3 linked regions of the Cricetulus griseus genome follow. The protein of the gene in region 1 interacts with the protein of each later gene in a biochemical or structural test. Links are inferred from orthologs where the notes say so. Each region holds a gene or a part of one and is shown in the gene's direction. Other genes may lie near its edges.

Region 1 (3,628 bases):
AACTGAAAAGGGTGTTTCAAAGGGTGCCAGTTCTACCAAGATTAAAAACAAACTGGATGTCTTGGTGCAGATCTTAAGAACAAGAAGTATGAAGATCACCATTTTATGCTTCTTTGTGACACCCTATCTGAAGAGGAGAGGAGATTGTCTCTCAGGCTAGCTTTTTCCAAATGCAATGCTAACAGCATACATTGTTAGCCCAAAAGCTACCCCTCCAAAATTACTGAAAGTAAATAGGTCACTCCTAATCCTACCAGATAGAGAAATCCTTATCAGCCAGGCACACAAACTTGGGAAATTACTATTAAATGAAAAATTTGCCAGGTGTTGGTGGCCCACGGCTTTAGTTGCAGCACTCGGGAGGCAGAGGCAGGCGGGTCTCTGTGAGTCGAGGCCAGCCTGGTCTACAGAACGATTTCCAGGACAGCCTTCTCCAAAGCAATGCAGAGAAACCCTGTCTCAAAAGAACCAAAAAAAGAGTATCATTTAATTGAGGCCTTCAGATAGTAAACTGTAGGATTTGTTCTAAAAACTTTCCATTTACAAGCATAACTTTCTTCAAAAATATTAACCCAAGTAGAACCTGATTTTCTTTTTTATTAACTTTTATAAAGTTATTTACTTCAAAAGTAAAACAGTACATAAAACACAGAACAAGAGAATGACTATTTAATGGTACTAGGAAAGCAAGCAGAATGTTAATAAACTCTGGGCATTTTTATGCCACCTAGTTCTTCAAACAGGATATGTCTTATTTCAGGCATTCTCTCTTTCTACTCAAGATTCTAAAATAAGGTAGACAATATTACAACAATTTAACAAATGAGTAACTGAGGCCCCTTGCAAGAGTCAACCAAATTGCCTGAGATAAGAGTGAATTCATAGCTAAGGGTTGATAGGACATAGAACCTGATTTTCTTTTCTTCATTTTAAAGGGGGTGGGCAGGGAGCAGGATGATGACAAGACAACTGGGACTGGTGTTACAAATGGTTGTGGATCACCCTATAAGCTGAACTCCAGTCACCTAGAATAGCAGTACTCAGGCTAAACCGCCATCTTTCCAGTGCCCAGAACCTGAATTCTTGATTGACCTCCCAGATTGCTCTGTCACAGTTGCTCTGTGACCTCAATGAGCCTTTTCGTACCTGTTTCCTCATTTATAAGATTTGTAAGAGTACTTGATACTGTTGAATGGCTATATTAAGTATTTAAAATACTAACTGGCACAAAGTCAAGTCTTCTTTATTTTTATTTATTTGGGTTTGTTTTTGGACCTAGAGCCTGCTGCTTGCTGGGCAAGCACTATACCAATCCCCAGCCCCAAAGTCAAGTTGTTGAAGGTTAGTTGTTTTGTAGTCAGGTGATGTATGTTGTCTGTGGCTTTGAGCTCTTGCTTCAGCCTTCCCAATGTTGGAATTGCTGTTACCACACCTTGTGAAAGCTTGCCTCTTCCTTTTACTAATTTTTTGTTGTTGTTAACATACAAGATAGGTTACAGGTGATGTTTTCATTTGTGTCATTCTTCCCTGTCCTCTCCCATACCCTTCCTCTCTGCAAATTGTTTCCTTTCTGCTTTCATGACATATAAATTCTGTTACTTTCTCTTCTTCCAAGCATTCTCTCTTTTTTTAGACTTCTCACCCTCCTTTTGAAGGTTGACTTTAGGTGATTTTAGGCTTAAATCTTGTGCCATTATTTCCCTTGAAAGGGGGTGAAATAAGCTAAATGACTTTCGATGTCTACTTGGTCATTACAGTACTCTATTATTAAACTTAGTAATATTAAGTCACTAATATTGATTTACTTAGTTTTGATTTGTTTATTTAATTGTTTGTGTCTCCACAGGTATTTTCTCCAGAAAGAAAACAAAATTGATACCTTGCATCCTGGAAGTTCATTTAGGAATTTGAAATTAGGGACTTCTTTCAAATTTGGACATGGCTAGTCGAGGAGCAACAAGACCCAATGGGCCAAATACTGGAAATAAAATTTGCCAGTTCAAACTGGTACTTCTAGGAGAGTCTGCTGTTGGCAAATCAAGCCTTGTGCTTCGCTTTGTGAAGGGCCAGTTTCATGAATTTCAAGAGAGTACCATTGGGGGTGAGAATTTTATTTTCCTTTTAATCATTTAGCTGAGTCATACATTAATATTTGTTCTAGGTGTGATTTTGAATAGCTAAATAGATCATGCAGGCAAGAAAAAAAGCTTTTAGCAGACCTTGAACTTTAATACTTTAGTTTGGTGTTTTATTTTGTTTGTAAACAAAATAACTTGTTTGTAAACAAGTTATTGTACCCTAAGCTATTCTGAAGTTTCGATAAACTTACTGTCCTGCCTCCACCTCCTAACTATCGGGGGATTATAGGTGTACACTACCAGCCCAGCATGGTTTTCTGTTGTTGTTTTTTGGGGTTTTTGTTGTTGTTGTTGGCTTTTTTTTTTTTTTTGGTTTTTTTGGTTTTTTTGGTTTTTGGAGACAGGGTTTCTCTGTATTGCTTTGTAATATATTCTGAAATTCGATCTGTAGACCAGGCTGGCTTCGAACTCACGGAGATCCACCTGCCTCTGCCTCCTGAGTACTGAGACTAAAGGCATGTACCACCAATGCCCAGTCCCAACTTGGTTTTGGGTGTTAAACAATATTTAAAGGAAAACTTTTAAAAACAAATTAGATGGGGGGAGGGCATAAGCTTATCAATCCAGCAGTCCAGAGCCTGAAGTGGGAGGACTACGTTTCAGACCAGTGACTATGATATAGCAAGATCCTATCTCAAAAAAAGAAAGCAAAGTACAAAATTGAGATGTCTTGTTAATTTAGATAGGAAAGTCTTCTCTCCAAGACATTAACTTGCACTGTATCCTATGCTTTCCATGAACTCTTGGTGATCCTACTTGTTTTAGCCACCAAGTACTGGGGTTACAGGTCTGGTCACCATATCTCGACTGTTGTTTTTGAGACAGGGTCTCAAATCTAACAAGCTTTATTTCATAGGTTTGGGGGGGGGGGGCGTGGGCTGGAGTGGGTGGGAGGGGGACATTCATAAGATAGGTCTCACATGGCCTATGGTGGCCAGGAACTGAACTGAGCTAGGTATTTGTTGATGGCCTTGAATATCTGATCTTCTACCTCCAGAATGTTGAGATTACAGTTGGGTCACCACAACCTGTGTTTGTGGTGCTGGGGGTGAAAACTAAGATTTTGTGCATGTCAGGAAATCACACTTCCAACTAAGATATGTTTCTAAGCCTCAGTCATTTTTAACACAATGTTTTTAAATCCTTTCTCTGTCAAATACTACTTTTGTTAGGTTAGGGAAGTCACATGTTTATTTACCTCTTACATGAATCAGAAATAACAGTGCCTTGTCTGAAATGAAAGCAGATGTCTTAATGTCTTAACTGGCAGAGAATAAATGCTTAGTAAGTCCAGCTAAATAAATACCAGTGTAGCTTTTTGCTGAGTCATTTCTAGCAGTGTTTGATGTGTTATATAATAATATTTTGGGTTCTAGCTGCTTAGTATTTGGCTTAAGATTTTAAGTTTTTGTTTAAGTAGGGGCTGTAGAGATGGCTAAGCAGTTGGGAGCACTGAGTGCTCTTCTAGAAGTAAGAACTTTAGGCTGGCT
Region 2 (4,351 bases), on another chromosome or scaffold:
TTTTCCCATCTTTGTTATCCACTATTGAGCTGACTGTGTTTAAGGTCATCTATCCCATTTGCTTTGACATCCTTAGGTTAGAAAGTACCTATACTTAGTGCTTATAACCTGCTTCCTGCCCCACTGGCCCCACTGCCAGCCTCAGCCTAGAGGAAGTGAATACATGTTTACACTTTAGTCCTCATAGATTCTGTCTCCCTCTTTACAACCTGTTAGAAGAAGGGCGAGTAAGTAATTCACCTATTCTTACATATTTACACAAGTAGACTAAGCAATTGCTTCATTCTGGGCTCTCATCCTGGCTTCTCAAAGAAAGCTAAAAATAAGTAGAATCCCTGATAATCTTGGTCCGAGGTTTCTACCAGCTGGGCTTGTTAGGATCACTGTTTCAGTTAAACTGACAGGTCGGACCAGCTACTTAGTGAAGTTCGTGTAAATTCCATTTGTATGGCTTGTTTCGTAAATATCAGAAGTATCATTCTCTTAGGTGTACCTGTATCTAGAGGTCAGCAGATTTAACGGTAGTGAAAAGTAGAGGCCAAGGAACACTTGCTGCTGCTATGCATGGTGAGCCATAAAAGGCTGGCAGTGGGGTGTGTGAGTGTGCCAGCCTGCCGACTTCCAGGTGAGTATGTCCAAGGGAACAGCCTCCAGCCACACCCAGCATCACATGGAGATAGCCAGCATGTGATGGGAGGGGACAGGAGAGTCCTTTCCCATTTCTTCTTTAGAAATGAAAACATGTTTAGAGAGAGATTCGTAGTTGCAGAGACAGTCTGGCAAAATGTAAATGTCTCCTCACTTAGGTGTTATGAATAGATGTTATTTATATTGAAATGGTTTAATACAGGAAACCAAGAACTTTAACTTACACATGTACTTTGACACAGAAAATGTTACAAAACTGTTTCCCCTCAGGCCTGTTCTTTTACATACCTACATACATTAAATGCCAGTTATTGAATTAATTCTCTTGTAATGTCTGGATGTCTCATGTATCTCCTGCAAGATCCTTAGGGTAGTTCAGGATGTAAAATCTCCTATGCAGCTGTCTGGGGTTACCCGCAAATGTTCCTGACCACAGAAATATCTGCCATTATGTTGACATGCTCACTCAGCATAGTATGTTTGCATAAACACAGTAAAGCCACATATCTCTTTTAGTCTAAGCTCACAGTATTGTCCAGATACATAATTAACAATCAAATAATTGTATAATTTTTTTATTTTTTGTGGGATATTGTGTCCATGCCTTATGACAGTATTGCTGGGCTGTGGGGAGAGAATATATTAAATATCTTTTGTTCATTTTCAAGAACTAAGAAGACCTATGGGAAAGCATTTAATGACTTCTTTGGGTAGAGGTTTGTAGCCACGTTAACAAGTCAGACTCCGGTGGATTGAAACTGCTGTTGCATGAAATTGCTTTTATATTATTTATCATTGTGTTCTTTTCTTGAATTTTCTTCTTTCAGAGGAGAGTTCCAGTCACAAATGCACATGTGATGCATGGTAACATTTCCCGCTAAGGTGAAATGCAGAAATGAAAAGGACGCATCCATTTGAGTATTCTCACATACGATTACATGCATTATCGTGTTTTCCATGCTACTGACTTTTTTTTTAATGTTTAAAAATTGTTAAGCGTTAAACAGCTTAGGATTTGCAAACTCAGTGTTCCTGATTGAAGATCCCAAGTAGAGATTTTATTACAGCATAAATACCTCAGAGGAGCCCTCGACCTAGTTCCATACAGAGTTCTTTCATCAGCTGTGACCTGAAGTTTCAGCTCCTAGGATGGCAGACAAGCTTCCCACAGAGTTTGATGTAGTTATTATAGGGACAGGTTTGCCTGAGTCCATCCTGGCAGCTGCGTGTTCCAGAAGTGGACAGCGAGTTCTGCATGTTGACTCCAGAAGTTACTATGGAGGGAATTGGGCAAGTTTCAGCTTTACAGGCTTGCTGTCCTGGCTGAAGGACTATGAACAGAACCATGACAGCGAGGAAGACATGACTGCCTCGTGGCAAGACCTGATCCATGAAACGGAAGACGCCATCGCTCTTTGCAAGAAAGATGAGACTATTGAGAACACAGAAGTCTTCTGTTACGCCAGTCAAGATGATGGGGACAGCACTCAAGAGAACAATGCTCTGCAGAGAAGTCCTTCCCCAAAGGCATCTGCTACCCTGGCTGACTCTCTGGATTCTGCAGGTTTGCCCAAAGAAGGGTACACAGTATACTTTTCAAGCCACGAAGCACCTTCTAGACACACAGAGAGAAGTGATACGGAGCCGTCACCATCCTTAACTGATGCAGAGAACTCACTGGATCAAGAAAAGGATGGTGGCATCCAGACAGTTTCAGATGGAGATAAAGATGAAGACAAACCTGATATAGAAGACAACAGCAAACAACCAAAGAGAAACAGGATTACTTACCCTCAAATGATTAAGGAGAGCCGGAGATTTAATATTGACTTGGTATCGAAGCTGCTGTATTCTCAAGGATCATTGATTGATCTTCTCATCAAATCAAACGTTAGTCGTTACGCAGAATTTAAGAATGTCACTAGGATCCTTGCGTTTCGGGACGGGAAGGTAGAGCAGGTGCCTTGCTGCAGAGCAGATGTCTTTAGTAGTAAAGCGCTCACCGTGGTTGAGAAGAGAATGCTAATGAAATTCCTCACATTCTGTTTAGACTATGAACAGCATTCTGATGAATACCAAGACTTCAAACAATGCCCATTTTCTGAGTACCTAAAAACTAAAAAGTTAACGCCCAACCTCCAACATTTCATACTACACTCAATTGCAATGACATCAGAACCATCCTGCACTACGTTAGATGGTCTTAAAGCAACAAAAACCTTTCTTCAGTGTCTTGGACGGTTTGGCAACACTCCCTTTATATTTCCTTTATATGGCCAAGGAGAAATCCCCCAGTGTTTCTGCAGGATGTGTGCAGTGTTTGGTGGAATCTATTGTCTTCGCCATAAAGTCCAATGCCTTGTAGTTGATAAAGACTCTGGAAGATGTAAAGGGGTCATTGACCACTTTGGTCAGAGAATAAGTGCCAACTACTTTATTGTGGAGGACAGTTACCTTTCTAAGGAAACCTGTTCAAATGTGCAATATAAGCAGATCTCGAGGGCTGTGCTTATCACAGATCAGTCCATCCTAAAGACAGATTCAGACCATCAAATTTCCATTCTGGTAGTGCCTCCACTAGAGCCTGGAAGCAGCTCAATTCGGGTCATGGAGTTATGCTCATCAACCATGACGTGCATGAAGGACAGCTATCTGGTCCACCTGACCTGTGTTTCTTCAAAAACAGCCCGAGAAGACTTGGAACCAGTAGTTAAGCAGTTATTCATTCCTTTTGCAGAAGCAGAAACAGATGAGGAAGAACTCAGAAAACCAAGACTCTTGTGGGCCCTTTATTTTAATATGAGAGATTCCTCAGGAGTGAGCCGAAGCTCATACCATGGTTTACCTTCCAATGTGTACATCTGCTCTGGGCCTGACTGTGGACTGGGGAATGAGCATGCCGTTAAGCAAGCGGAAACACTGTTCCAGGAGATCTTTCCCAGTGAAGAGTTCTGCCCTCCTCCACCAAATCCAGAAGACATTATCTTTGAAGGTGAGGGTTAGCAAGCAGACATCCTGGAGTCAGTAACACACTTACCATCCAGCTAGACACCCCAAGGACACAGCAAGGACTTGTAAAGCACAGAACACCTTCGAAATTAAAACTGACTGGAAGTATTTTCATCCTGGTCTCACAATATTGTCACTGAAAGACAGCTGCCATTTGTGATAAGCGCTGTTCACATGTCTTCAACACCAAGACACTGGGTACCCTAATAGCTCTGCTAATCTGTCAGCATCTGGTTTGTGGTGACTCACCTTTTTCAGAATTGGCTACAGGAATCCAGAATCTCTGAATGTCATTAGCTTTATTTTACTTTTGGGTTTCACATTAGCGACATTGCTTAACTTAAGGTAGCATCGTCTTCTGTGTTCTGTGTTCAGGTTTTATCATTATCTACACAAAAATTAATATCCACAGAGTGCTACTACTGTTGCTACCACCTCGGGTGCACAGAGGAACACATAATCATAAACGGAGTGAGTTTTTTGTATATTATGTAAACACACAGGGCTGGTAGTAGGAGTAGCAGCTAATACAAGTATGGTAAAAAAGCAAGTGTTAGAAGCTTGGCCATGCATGAGCCTGTGGCTTGGGGCTGCTATTTACATGTGATTTCACCTGCTTTAACCTTTGTCACTGAGGAGGCAGTGAGACTACGCTAGCCTGCTACTTTACAAAAAAAAGTGCCCCTTAGTCGTT
Region 3 (4,411 bases), on another chromosome or scaffold:
AGGCTTTCAACTTGCAAGGATCCTTGGGCCTCTTCTTCCTGAATGTTGGGTGACAGATATGTGTCACCACACCCTGCTTGAAAGCTTTGCTCCTCTATAGCCAGTTGTATCCTGCTTGTGCTGGCCTAGTAAAAAGAAGTAGTAAGAATAAGATACCCATAATACAAGTTGAAACCTTTCATGCAATGTAAGTAAGAACTGGCTCCAAGCCACCTTTCTTCAAAAGCCAAGGGTCTCTTCAACAGGGTGACTAGTTGGTAGAGAATCCAAGGGGTGAGTTCTCATAAAAGGACTGTAACACTAAAGACAATTCTGTGACACTATAATACAAGTCTGTCATAAAACTTCTGAAACAAGTTTTAATCTTTCAAGAGATCATGGGGGAAATCTAGTAGCTTTAATTTCAAACATGCAACTTCATGCTCGTTATGACCATATACGGACTTGCTCTACGGTGTTTGGATTTGGTTCAGTTGAAGTAGCAGGAGAATAAGGAAGCTAATGCTCTTCTCTCGGTGACCGTACTTTTGTGAATGACAGTGGAAGAGACTGATGGGGTTAATGGGTAGATTGTTTTGGGGGAAATATTAGTGATTTTGCCACTTTCTCTGTATACTGATAAATACTTTGATTAACGCCACCGATAAATAAAGCAGTGTGAAGCTGGAGAAAAGGATGCAACAAGGCTGAAACAGAAAAAAGAACAGCGTTCCAGCCCTTACATGCCCAATCTCCAACAGTGTGAACGGCACTCTACAGTCAAGGAGAACCGGGAAGCTATTTAAGTCTCTTCCAAAACCTTTTGGTGAAACAGAAATGCTGACGGAGATACGTTCTCCAGCAACTGTGTCTTTTTAATTTTTATTTAAAAAGACGTTTTCCTTTGTGATATATAGGAGATACGATGGCCATAATTTTAGCACATCAAACTTTAAGGCCAGGTAAGAATTAATGATTTGTTAACGCAAGGGTTTTAAACTGAGTGTATGTATTGATAACCAGGTGTGTGTCCAGAAAAAAACGATCTGGGGGTCTACTACCTACAAATTAACTGTAAACCCAATGACACAAGTTTGGATTTCAGAGGTTTGTGAGTTAGCACCACTTTTGCAGGAGTTAAGACTGAAAACTCGAGCAGGGTTGGAAAGGTTATGGGGCCAGGGGTAGGGATTTTTCCAAGGTTGCTGACGAAATATGGTGCAGACATAAAACTGCCTCAAGTTCCCCTCGAGCGCTTTTCACCCCAAGCTCAGGCTAACCGCGCGCGGGCTTGACAGACAGCCCCTTACACTCTCAAGTACGGGAAGATCGGCGCTCACAGGCAGTGCGGTCTGCGCGGGTCGCACCTCTGAGGAGGGCGAGCGGTCGCGAAGGAATCTCCCCGGTCGGCCCCGCGCGTTGACGGGCGTCGCAGCGAGCCAATGGGCGTGCGGGAGGCGGGACTGACAGGCCCGGGAGGGCGGGATTTCCCGCGCGGTGGCCTCTGAGCGCCTGACTGGGGCGGCGGCGTCTGCGAGAGGGCGGGCCGGGTCAGCTGCTGCAGGCGGGGCGCCGCGCCGAGCTGTGGGCGGCTGCTGAGTGTCCTGCCGCCGCCCAGCCTTCGCCACGATGCCGGGGATCGACAAGCTGCCCATTGAAGAGACGCTGGAAGACAGTCCGCAGGTAAGGTGCCGGCGGTGGCCGAGGACAGCGCGCGGCCTAGCGCGGGCCTGGCGCCTCAGGTGCCCGCGCGCGGCCCAGGTGGGCGCCGCCGCCCGGGGTCGCTGCCTGCGGGGACCGCGCCCTACACTCCCGGGCCGGGCTGGAGGCCCGCGCGGCTGGGCCGCGGATGGAGCGGCCTTCGCTGTCTCCGATGGGGCCTGGCTCTTGAATCCGCGCCGGGTCTCCCTTGCATTTCACGGGAGGTGCTGTTTTTATCGGGATGGTACGATGTGGCGAGATAAGTCCTGGTCGTGGCGTTTTCCGAGGAGGCCTGGCACGCAGGGACCGCAGTGGCTAGTTTTCTTCGGAAGGGGCTGCGAGGCCGTGTGTGCAACGCCGGTGGACGCAGCGGTGTGCGTCTTGCTCCCCGCGGTGTGTCGGTGTCCGAGGCTGTCACTTGAGCTGTGCCCTGCGGGTGACGGAAGGCGCCTGGGCTGCAGAGCCTTGGGTTGCAGACTTGGCCCGAATAAAGTCATCAAAATAAAAGCCCTGTTAATGTGCGTTGGGGATGATGCTAATATGGTTGCTCTAGCTGAAGACAGTCTGGGAAAATAAAACAAATTTCCTTTTCAGTACGGAATGAAATCTGTTGTATTTTAAAAGGTGGTCTCTAACTTGCGTCAACTTCATCCTTTTGCCAGCTTTCGTATATAGTAAGGAATATAGAACAGTGTTGCTGGTGGATTTCTTAAATAATACTTGCTGAGAAATATATATTTTATATGCATTTATAGTGGAGTGTGCCCCCCTCCCCCACAAAAAAAGAAAGAAAAGGGCTAGAGCTTGCTTTGCTGGATGACACTTTTGCCATAGATTTTGTGCCGGTTTTGATTTTCCAAGTTGAAACTGGGCTCTGATTGTAGAATTGATTTATTCTTCTCTCATTCTGAAAGCTGTCTTCATAGGCCAGTTGCTCAGACGTAATATCCCCTGTCAGGCAGTATGAGAAAGAGACACCCACATTTTGGGTTATCTCACAGCTGGTTTAAATTTTGCTTAATGACTTTCTCAGTGTAAAGTCTTAAGTTATATTTATTTCAGATGATTTGCAGCAATTTCGTGGTTGTATTGGTCAGCATAATTTTATCTTTTTACAATTAAGACCCAATACACTGTCTGAACTTCTTTTACCCAGTGTACTTTTTATAGCCCATAAAGACTATAAAGAGAATGGTTTGCACAGTGCCCTATCGGTGACTTTCGATGTAGTGGTTATCTTGAATTTTCCATGTAATTAGTTTACAACTTGAGTCAGGCTTATTCTGTAGCCCAGGCTGGCCTCAAACATGGGCTCCTCCTGTCTCTAACTGGTGGTTGCAAGCTTGAACCACAAGTACTTTCAGTTGTTGTTGTTTTTAATTTAAAATTTGTTTTTATATATATGGGTGTTCTGGCTGCATGTGTTTGTGTACCACTTGTATGCTTGCTGTCAGTAGAGGGTATTGGGTCCCCTGGAACTGGAATTACTAATGTTTGAGAGCCACTGCGTGGGTGCTGGAAATTGAACCTGGATTGTCTAGAAGAGCAGTAAAAGTGCTAACCACTGAGCCATTTCTCCAGCCCCTGTTTTTTAATTTAAAACAATGATTTTTTTGGGGACTGGAGACTGGACCCAGGACCTTGCACTTGGTAGGCAAATGCTGTACCACTAAGATAAATCCTCAATTTTGCTTTTATTTTTTGTGTGTATATGTGTTGTAATGTATGTGTTTGCATGTCTGTGTATGTGTGCTCATGTGAACGGAGGCCAAAAATTGATTTATCTTCCTTGATTGCTTACCATCCAGGATCTTTCTCTGAACCCTGGGTTTGTTAATTCAGGTAGTCTAGGAAGCCAGCTTGCCCCAGGTATCCTGTCTCTGTCTTTTAAGTGTTGAGAGTACATGTGACCGCTGCACATGCCCAGTTTTTCCATGGGTTCTGGGGAATCTGGACTCAGGTCCTCAAGCTTGCAGGGTAAGGGCTTTATCTACTGAGCCATCTTCCCAGCCCTATTGTATGTGATTATGTGTGTGCTGCTGCTCTTGTATATGCATGCATGTAGAGGCTAGAGGACAGCCTCAGGTGTTGTTCCTTCTCAGCTTCTACCTAGCTTGTTGTTTTTGAGATAGTGTCTACCCTAGAGATCTAGGTCTCTGATGGGATCATGTAGGCTAGGCTGGCTGGGCAGCAAGCCCTAAGGATCTGCTTGTCTACGCCTTCCCAGCACTACGATTACATGTACCTGCCACCATACCCACCTTTTTTACCTGGGTGCTTGATAGCTAAAATGTCTTCACAATATTCTCAATTAAAAATTTCAAGCCTGCATATTTCCTTAGGTGGTTTAACAGACATATTTTAAAATGTTTTTATTAGCATATATTAATAACATAACAATGAATTTTATTATGACATTCCATTTTTATTGTATTTGCCCATTACCTCTATTGTTTCCCTTTCTCTTCCTAACTAGATCTCTTACTTGTGTCTTTTAAAAATATTTTTGTTTTGTTTTGAGAGGAAACTCTTGTGTTGCTAGGTGGAGAGTTCCCTCTGCCTCAGTTTGCAGAATAGTTGGGACTATAGCAGGTGTACCATATCCAGCTCCCATTGTTGTACTTTTAGAGTTTCTCCGAAGTTCTGCTTTTGTAAATAGGGCTGAGCTTAATGCTTTTGGGACCATTCTACAGATGTGGAGGGGTTTTTTATTGGGGGAAGTGAACTGAAG

The links.
Region 2: the proteins of Rab5a (region 1) and Chml form a complex in vitro, tested with the Homo sapiens proteins (2 studies listed by BioGRID). The link is inferred for Cricetulus griseus from reciprocal best matches to the Homo sapiens genes RAB5A and CHML.
Region 3: the proteins of Rab5a (region 1) and Appl1 form a complex in vitro, tested with the Homo sapiens proteins (2 studies listed by BioGRID and IntAct, with this or other methods). The link is inferred for Cricetulus griseus from reciprocal best matches to the Homo sapiens genes RAB5A and APPL1.

What each region holds. Positions count from the first base shown.
Region 1 is NW_023276806.1:249,792,168-249,795,795, reverse strand, and holds part of Rab5a (ras-related protein Rab-5A), read left to right. Parts: intron 1-1,317; exon of another isoform or gene 1,318-1,341; intron 1,342-1,846; 5' UTR 1,847-1,938; coding exon 1,939-2,101; intron 2,102-3,628. UniProt on the Homo sapiens protein: The small GTPases Rab are key regulators of intracellular membrane trafficking, from the formation of transport vesicles to their fusion with membranes.
Region 2 is NC_048598.1:18,011,480-18,015,830, forward strand, and holds the start of Chml (rab proteins geranylgeranyltransferase component A 2), read left to right. Parts: upstream 1-1,548; 5' UTR 1,549-1,797; coding exon 1,798-3,651; 3' UTR 3,652-4,351. UniProt on the Homo sapiens protein: Substrate-binding subunit (component A) of the Rab geranylgeranyltransferase (GGTase) complex. Binds unprenylated Rab proteins and presents the substrate peptide to the catalytic component B.
Region 3 is NW_023276807.1:192,715,241-192,719,651, forward strand, and holds the start of Appl1 (DCC-interacting protein 13-alpha), read left to right. Parts: upstream 1-1,608; coding exon 1,609-1,662; intron 1,663-4,411. UniProt on the Homo sapiens protein: Multifunctional adapter protein that binds to various membrane receptors, nuclear factors and signaling proteins to regulate many processes, such as cell proliferation, immune response, endosomal trafficking and cell metabolism.